Linked DNA regions of Tribolium castaneum. The protein of the gene in region 1 purifies or fractionates together with the protein of each later gene. This does not show direct contact. Links are inferred from orthologs where the notes say so. Each region holds a gene or a part of one and is shown on either strand. Other genes may lie near its edges.

Region 1 (4,287 bases):
GGCACACTTGTGTATGACACCTTCCTCTGTACCCACAAGGTAGAAGGCAGGGTCCGGCTTGTGCACACTTAAGCAAAGAGCGCCGGCATACCTAGACGACGAAACCTGATTGCCTTCAAACAACCGCAAGGCTGGTAACCCTTTCAGCTTCCCTTCAATTTTATCCGTCCTCATAATTTGTACACACTCGAGCTTCGCTTGGGTCACCAAGTACTTGCAAACCCGACCGTCGCCGAAACAAACCAGGAGAAATTCCTTCTGGTTTTGCTCCAGCCATACCATGTTCCAGGCCGGTTTAAACGAAGTGCTAGAGTCCTCCCCAACCATCTCAAAGTCCCTTTTGCTGACATCTATAACTAGGAGCTCCCCATTGTAGAACCCAACAGCCAGATAGTTCGGGTCTTTTGTTGAAAACGCAAGGGACGTGACCGGGTGTCTGAAGTAGTACTCGCGCTCGGGCTGTTTGGGATTTTTTATGTTCCACACCATCACAACCCCGGTCTTTCTCCGGTCAATAAAATAGTACTTGCCATAGCCCACAGCTACCATATCTTCGGTGAAAGAATTGAACGAGATCCCGGTAACGCACCTATTTTTCGTGTCTTCGTTGGCGAAAGTCCACAGCAAGTCCAGCTTGTAATCGTAGCGGATTTCCTCGGCCTCGTCCACCAACCCTTTGAACTTCTTCTGTTCGTTGTTGTAACAATTGTTGGCCAAAAGGCGTTCAATTACTAGAACAGCGTCGAAGTAGTTTTTATTCACTGACAACTTCTCCAACTCTTTGGTCTCTCGACTCTTCCTTAGTTCATCCAAAGACACTTCCGCAATTAACTCATGGTCGTTTGTTTCCTCCAACTCAACACTTTCAACAAAACTGGCATTGTAGGTATCATACATCTCCCAGTTTGAAGCAAACGTTGAGTTGTCCCTGAACTTGTACTGGACGGGTTCCGTGTTTCGCGTTTTCATTAAAACAGGCCTCGTTTGTACTCCAGTTGTTGCAACTTTGCGATTACGCCCTTTACCCTTTGTTAAGTATTCGTAAAGGCGGTTGTCCATCTCGGCGGCTTCGCCCTCGTCAGTGTCCCGCGGGACCACAGAACTTGGAAGTTCAAGCAAGAAAAGGGTTTCCGTCTCGTTTAACACAATAGTCACATGTTTTGGGATTTTTCGCAGCATTTTTAGCCAAAAAAAGTTTGATCAATTCTACCCCATTTATTTAAAATCGCTACCAACCCAACTTCAATACTCGACTAATTTTTAACACAGCGTAGGTGCCTCTGGTCTAGTTTTTATCTTGTTGCAAGGTGTTGGTCGTTGCGGTAACTTGTTGCTTGTTTATTGTCTAACCTCAAAAGTGACATTTTACAGTGAATGTCAAGACATAAATTATCATTTTTTAATCGAAATTAAAATGTTAATGCGATAGTTTGTAACATAATTAGTGTGTTATGTTGGTGGGGACTGTTAATTTTACATTTGGCACTTCTCGTCCCCCGTGCGATGAAAAACAATACGATGCAAAGTTCATGTGTGATTAGTTTACAAAAATAGAAGCAAACAATAACATCATGAAATTGTTTCGTCTTATCGTCCACCAGAAGAATTTCAGTGGTATGAGTCGAACAAGTTGTGACCGGTCAAGGTCAGTTGTTTTTTCCAGCTGAGGATTTAATCATCAACCCTAAAGACTACCCCGGTGCTAATTTGGGCGATATTGTGGAGATTTACCACCCGCCACCCGACGATGACAACCCACGTGGTAAGAAGAAGAGCGAGCCTGAGGAAGAATACCCAAGGTTGTTGCTCCAAATTAAAACGTTTCCGGACGATACAACCCAGCAAAATGCCTTACAAAAAGACACAATCAGCGTGGAGCAGAGCATAGCTCAGGCTTTCGGTCTGCAGGCGTACAAGAACGTGATAATCCGTATTGTGGACCCGCCTGACATTGCGCTTGACTCAATTGAACTTACCTTTAAAGACCAGTACATGGGGCGCTCTGAGATGTGGCGCTTGAAAAACAGTCTTATTAACACTTGTGTGTACATCAAAAAGAACATTGAGTTCTGTGGGGGCGCTGTGCGTTGCCAGGTCTACGAGATGTGGTCAATGGGCGACAGAGTCGCTTGTGGGGTTATCACAGAAGACACGAAAGTCGTTTTCCGCTCCTCCACATCCATGGTTTATCTCTTCCTGCAAATGTCGTCGGAAATGTGGGACTTTGATATTTACGGCGACTTGTACTTCGAAAAAGCCGTGAACGGGTTTTTGGCCGATTTGTTCATGAAGTGGAAGAAGAACGGGAGCAACCACGAAGTGACGATTGTTTTGTTTTCCCGCACGTTTTACGAAGCGAGTAACTTGGAGGCGTTCCCTCTCCACATGCGAGAGTGTCTCCAGAAGGATTACAAAGGCCGATACTACGAGGATTTTTACAGGGTTGCGGTCCAGAACGAGCGCTATGACGACTGGAGCGGGATTTTGGTCCAGTTAAGGCGAATTTTTTCCGAATATTTGAAAATTGTCCTCGAGTATCACAAAAGGCCAGGGTTGGATATTCCAGCTGCGACGAACAGTACAGCAGCTCAGGGGAATTTTCTAGAGGTGTTAAACATGTCCCTGAATGGTATTTATTTGTGGTCATGGTTTATACATTCTGATTGTTTTTTTCTCAGTTTTTGAGAAGCATTATTTGGATCGAAGTTTTGATAGGACTGGGCAACTCAGTGTTGTGGTTACACCGGGTGTTGGTGTTTTTGAAGTTGATCGAGAGTTGACTAATATTACGAAACAGAGAATTATCGATAATGGGGTTGGGAGTGATTTGGTGTGTGTTGGGGAACAGCCACTGCACGCAGTTCCGCTTCTAAAGGTATTATTTGATTTAATAGGAGGGCTTAATGACCGGATTTTTTTGCCTTAAGTGCCAGTTGAAAAAAAAAACAAACCCAAAACGAACATATTTATTTCGCAAAAAAATGTTATTTTTTAAGCTTGTAATTTCGTATTTCCAGTTAAGTCGTATGTCATAAAATACTTATTGAAGGTAGCTAACATATAAAAGAATTTTGTTATTTAATTCTATTACTGTTAAGTAGACGGAATGGGAATTAGGTACGTCTGCATAAGTATTAAAACATAACCAAATTAGTTGGTCAAAAATTGTTATTATTTTACTAGAATACACATAAATATTACATAATAATTAATAAGCTTATAAGTATTAACGTAATAACACTTTAACTAAAGATAAACAAAAAAATTGATATGAAAAAAATTAAATAATAATAATTATTATTATTATTAATGAAATATATTTATATTAATGACTAATGAAATGATGAATAATTTAATTACTTGTTGGATTGATAATTCAAGGATTCGTAACATGATAACTAAATATAAAATCTCGCTAGAAAACAATCTTTATTTATGTAATAATTATTTTAATACTTTAATTTGCTCAAATGACCTAGCAGATCCAAAGGAATCAATTATGTAATGGGAACTATAGATGTATAACAGAAAGAAAAAAAAAGAAAGTAAGGAAGAATCAGTAACTATTTTAAATGAAAAAAACAGATTCTAAAGAAAAGGTTACTTGTGATCTTTTTATAATAATAATAACAATATAATAATAATAATAATGTTTTTTCAAATATTTTCCAGAAAACAAAGCACTGTAGCACTGCATGAGTATAATTATAAAAGGCGCTCCGAATTAAAATGTTTTATTGTTTTTTTAAATGAATTGATATTTAGATCCTTTATTTTGTTGGGCAAAAGATTATAAAATTTTATAGAGTGATGTTTCATTGCTGTTTTTGTTCGCGTTAGTCGAATCTCATTTTGACAAATTTTTTCCTTGCAATTGTAATCATGATAATAACCATTGGAATTTTTTTATAGATGTTAGACTTTAGGTATAGTACACATAAATAAAAAACAGTGACGGCAAGGTTAATACTTATAATTTTTTGAAGGCCTCTTTGCAGTCAGCCCGATAGGGTATGCCAGCAACAACGCGAATCGCACGCCTGTGAAGAGAAAAAATACGATATAAACAGGATGAATGTCCCCAAACTTTTAAGCCATACGATTTTATTAGAGAGTATTAGAGTAAATTACATGCCAAGTAACTAATTAGGAGTACGAAATTATATTTTTGGCTTCTAAAGATATTATTAATTCGTTGTTATTGCTTTTTGTTAGGACTTACTCCTTTTATCTCAAAAATTTGAGATTTTTGGATTGAAAATAAAAATAAATACCTATCCCAAATAA
Region 2 (4,530 bases), about 9.3 Mb from region 1:
ATTTTAAATCAACAACACAAAAGAAAAGAGAGAGAAACTGGTAACGGTTTCAACAAAGCGACCCCTTCGCATTCACACCCCTAAAGCAACGGTCAAAATTTTTAACTAAAACTATTAGTTTCGGTACTTAAAATACAAATTTACTCCAAATTTTTTTGTTATTATAATTTTTGTAAAAAGAGCCGGTAAAGAAGGTTCATAAATATTCCACTAACAACCCATAATTCGCAATAGACAACACAACTCTATTGTAGCAAAATTATATGTAAAACAGTAAAATTACTTACAATTATTTAGAATTTTTTATTACACTTTGAAATACAATCGTCGCTATAAACACTGTAATGGCGACGTTTTTTGATGGACACAAACGTCAAATGGTTAAACAGTTCGCATGCGAAGAAGTAACATTCTACAGTAGCGCCACTTAGCGGGAATTCGTTGCTACCAACTTTTGTTCTTTTTAGAAATCCATAAACGACGAAAAATGTGGTTACCAACATGAATTTTGGTCATTTCACTATTTTTTAATATTTGCAAGATAATAATAATAAATTTGATCCAAAAACAATAATTTTTACTTTTTACTGATGTATTTTATTTACAATTACACATCTCTTAACATCCTCTTGTCAAAGTAATCACAAATCGCCCAATTTTCCGCTTGAAAACTATTTAAAAATGTGTAATTTTAAAATTGTCATATTCTTAGCCTATTTACGACCAACTAGACTGTAAAAAAATCACACAAGATCCTCATTTCTGACCAAGATGCGTTTACGAACGCTTGTTTTGGTATTTGTATTTTTGTTAACATTCTCTCCAAGCTCTGAAATTATCTTCGACAGTTTCATTGCTACAAATGGTAAGAAAACTTAATAAAAAAGTTACTGTATACTATTGTGTAATTCTTCTAATTTAAAATTTTAGAAATGGAAGGAGCGCGTAAAAAGAAAAAAGGAGGTGGCAGCAAATACACTGTACCACTTCTTTTCGGAGCTTTAATGATCAAATCTATTATTTTTCCGTTAGCTTTTAAAACTATGGCCGTAATGTCAAGCATTGCAATACTTTTAAGTACTATGAGTTTAATTATGTCATCAATCGTGGGATACATCAGAATGGGACTTAAGTCTGCCCCTGTTAAAGTTGTTCATAAACAACCACCATCGCCCTTCAATAATTGGGCCAAAGATGATGATGGTAAAAATTATTACACACTCGGAGATAATTATAATTATGATTTGGTGGCACCACCACCCAGATAAGTAAAAAATATGTTATGTAACATTTATTTAACCCAAATAAAATGTTTTAATAACAATCACTTTTTCCCTTCTGATTATTAAAATGTACTGCTTCTCTGTTGTATTGTATGGCTATAACTGGTAATTGTTTGGAAGCTACTGATTTCTAGGAAACGTGAAACGTCAGACTTGACGTTTTTAGGTTATTCCTTTTAACCTCGCATTTTTTTGTTAAATATAAAAAAATGACTAAAAACTATTTCTTTATAATAAAAAATGACTAAGTAAACGCGTGACTGAACGTAGTAATTATAAATTAAACTTTATCAGTGTCAAATTTATAAATCGCTGGATTTTATCAAAGAAGTGTCAAGAATATGTAAACAATGGCTACATTTCACGTTTTGCAAGAAGGTCCTGTAAATGCTTTAGCCTTAAATAGAGACAATACTCAAGTGGCAATTGGTGGACGCAATGGTAGCACAAATTAAAAGGAAAAATTGTTCATTCATTACAAAGCACTTATTTTTGTAGTGTTCAAAGTTTACACAATTGAAGAAGACAAATTCCGCGAAGTGTGCAACTTGCGAGCATCCAAACACCTCAATCTGAGCTTTTCTTGCAACGATGTTTCGTGGAGTTGGACTGATGGTAGTACTTGAAGGTGCATACAGTTTGTTCAATAACTGTTCGTTTTCAGACCATTATTTGGCGACCGCCGCCACCAACGGCCATGTCTGTGTTTGGAATCTCACAAAAATGGGCAAAGCAATGCAAGAACAAGATTATCAAGAACACAAACGTACAGTAAACAAAGTGAATTTTCACGCCAGTGAACCAAACAGACTCATATCCGGCTCTCAAGATGGCACGATGCGTTATTTTGATATCCGCGCCAAAAACGCAGTTGCTATTTTTTACAGTAACACAGAGAGTGTCCGCGATGTGCAGTTCAGCCCTCATAATCCATATACTTTTGCGGCCGTTTCGGAAAACGGAAGCGTCCAACTATGGGATGTAAGAAGATCTGATAAATGCCAACAGCAATTTGCTGCACACAGTGGACCCATTTTTGCCTGCGATTGGCATCCGGAGAACACGTGGCTGGCCACAGCCAGTAGAGATAAAACTATCAAAGTTTGTATTCTTTAAAAATGTCTTTGAAAGATGGGGAACTTTGTTTATAAACGGCTAGTTGCATTATGAAATTTCACGGCTTAAAAAAATAGAAATGGGACAAAATACATGGGGTGATATTTGAAAATTGCTGAAACTTTAATTTGAATAATAAACTGTCAGTTTGACTTTAAATTTGATGTATACCCTAGATGTATACTAACTTCAGAAATAATGTCACATTGATACATAATATGTATGTATTTAATCCCAATCAATATAAGAGCCGCGAGGTAAAAATGAAATTCTCTGTCCATTAAAGATGTTTTGATTTAAATATTTATAAAATGCGCGTTTTATTAGGTCTGGGATTTGACAAGTAAACTGACTTTAGAATATACCATTCATACTATAGCTTCAATAGGACATGTCAAATGGCGCCCTCAACGGCGGTTTCATATAGCTTCATGTGCTTTAGTTGTTGACTGTAGTATAAATATTTGGGATGTGAGGAGGCCCTACATTCCTTATGCCTCTTTCAATGAACACAAGGATACTCCAAGTGGAGTGGCTTGGAAAGAAGATCCTCATGTTTTCCTCAGCAGTGGTCGGGTATGACTTTTTCAGTAAATAGTATTTTATATGTTTTAATAGCCATTAAATGCGAACAGCGTACATTACGATCCGCCCAGTTAATATAAAAAAAATACGATTTTAAGTGTCAAATTTATTTTTAAATATTAGCCTATTGTCAAACGCTCAAGGAAATCTAAAAATAGTTGCTGCCATATTACATTCTCATTGGTCACAAGTTGTCTTTGTGGTCGCCACACTTAATGAGTTTCATTAAAGTACAGGTCACAACCATTTAACGAATCATTTAAAGTATAATCTAGTAGAAAAAATTTTAAAAAAACTACCGGGAGCCTATTAAAGATTGTGAATTCTTGTCGTTAGATTGGCCAACAGATTTGAAATCTTAATTTGGCAACTTTGACTATCAAATTTATATGTTAAAGTTTTACCATTTTGTAACATTTCGAGTGTGATTTACCTAATTTCAATTAATAAAAATTGGTTTTTATTTTTTTATCATGTAGGCTTTGGAAGTATTCAAAAAACAAATAGTGTGTTGTACTGCTTTTGAAGTACTCTTGACATTCCGTTACATTTGAAAAAAAAAGTTGAAGGTGGTAGCGCATCCTTGGCAGTAGATAAACAAAAACCATATCCACCAATAAGCTCAATGTTGCCAGTAGATTTTTTTGCCCCAATTTTTAAGTCACCCGTTGTGTGTCATTAATACCAACTTTAGAAATAATCAGGCTAATCAATACAACTATATTTTAAAATATAACTTTCTGTATACAATTTTTGTTTGTTTAGGATAGTACTTTGTATCAACATTCGTTCGATTACGCTAGCCGGCCAGCGAAAAAAGCTAATCCCCAAGGTGTCTCGTTAAATAATCGAGGCGAGATTTTGTACGCTCACAAAACCAATGTTAGCACCTTGGTTAAAGCACCATCAGTTGGTATAATAAGGTAAAAAATGAAATAAAAAATTATAGTATGAAGCAAAATGTCATTTTGAAGGAAAACATCAACGACTCAAGCACCTGATCTTTTCCATCTAGCGTCTAGTTTAATGCATCAGTTTACCTTGTCCACCGAAAACAAATCCGAATCACAGATTTTTATTGGCTTAGCCAAGAATTACATATTGAGTGGACGGAGTTTATCCGAAATGTGCGAACATAACTCGGCGGTGGCAAACCAATACGGAAAAAACCAAATTTCGGTCGTATGGAAAATAATGAAAACGATGTATGGCGAAGAGTATTTACAAAACAATAGCAATAATAATAACAATAATCGAGAAGATGTGATTTCGCATAATAACCTACCTCTGAATATGGGTTTGGATCATAATAATGACAACGATCAAAGATCGCGTGGTGGTGGCGACACTCCTGCCGCTCAATTCAGCGACGAGACCGAAAACGAAGATCAAGTCGATCACATCGCCATCTACAATAACGGCTTTCCCACATATCTAAATATCAGGACAGGGTTGCCGAAGGGAGATTTCTCTTTCGGAGAGAACGAATTGGATATGGAGTTGGACGGGATTATGACGGATTTTCAGAGCGGTTATCGCAATTTCG

Evidence for each region.
Region 2: the proteins of Iml1 (region 1) and Wdr24 purify together in Homo sapiens (affinity purification with western blotting; 4 studies listed by BioGRID and IntAct, with this or other methods). This does not show direct contact. The link is inferred for Tribolium castaneum from reciprocal best matches to the Homo sapiens genes DEPDC5 and WDR24.

What each region holds. Positions count from the first base shown.
Region 1 is NC_087395.1:17,374,048-17,378,334, reverse strand, and holds the start of Iml1 (GATOR complex protein Iml1), read left to right. Parts: upstream 1-1,350; 5' UTR 1,351-1,571; coding exon 1,572-1,614; intron 1,615-1,663; coding exon 1,664-2,629; intron 2,630-2,678; coding exon 2,679-2,875; intron 2,876-4,287. Other genes in the region: dynein axonemal intermediate chain 4, read right to left, coding at 1-1,179. UniProt on the Homo sapiens protein: As a component of the GATOR1 complex functions as an inhibitor of the amino acid-sensing branch of the mTORC1 pathway.
Region 2 is NC_087395.1:26,690,689-26,695,218, reverse strand, and holds the start of Wdr24 (GATOR2 complex protein WDR24), read left to right. Parts: upstream 1-1,417; 5' UTR 1,418-1,633; coding exon 1,634-1,724; intron 1,725-1,781; coding exon 1,782-1,898; intron 1,899-1,947; coding exon 1,948-2,384; intron 2,385-2,726; coding exon 2,727-2,975; intron 2,976-3,749; coding exon 3,750-3,907; intron 3,908-3,958; coding exon 3,959-4,530. UniProt on the Homo sapiens protein: Catalytic component of the GATOR2 complex, a multiprotein complex that acts as an activator of the amino acid-sensing branch of the mTORC1 signaling pathway. The GATOR2 complex indirectly activates mTORC1 through the inhibition of the GATOR1 subcomplex.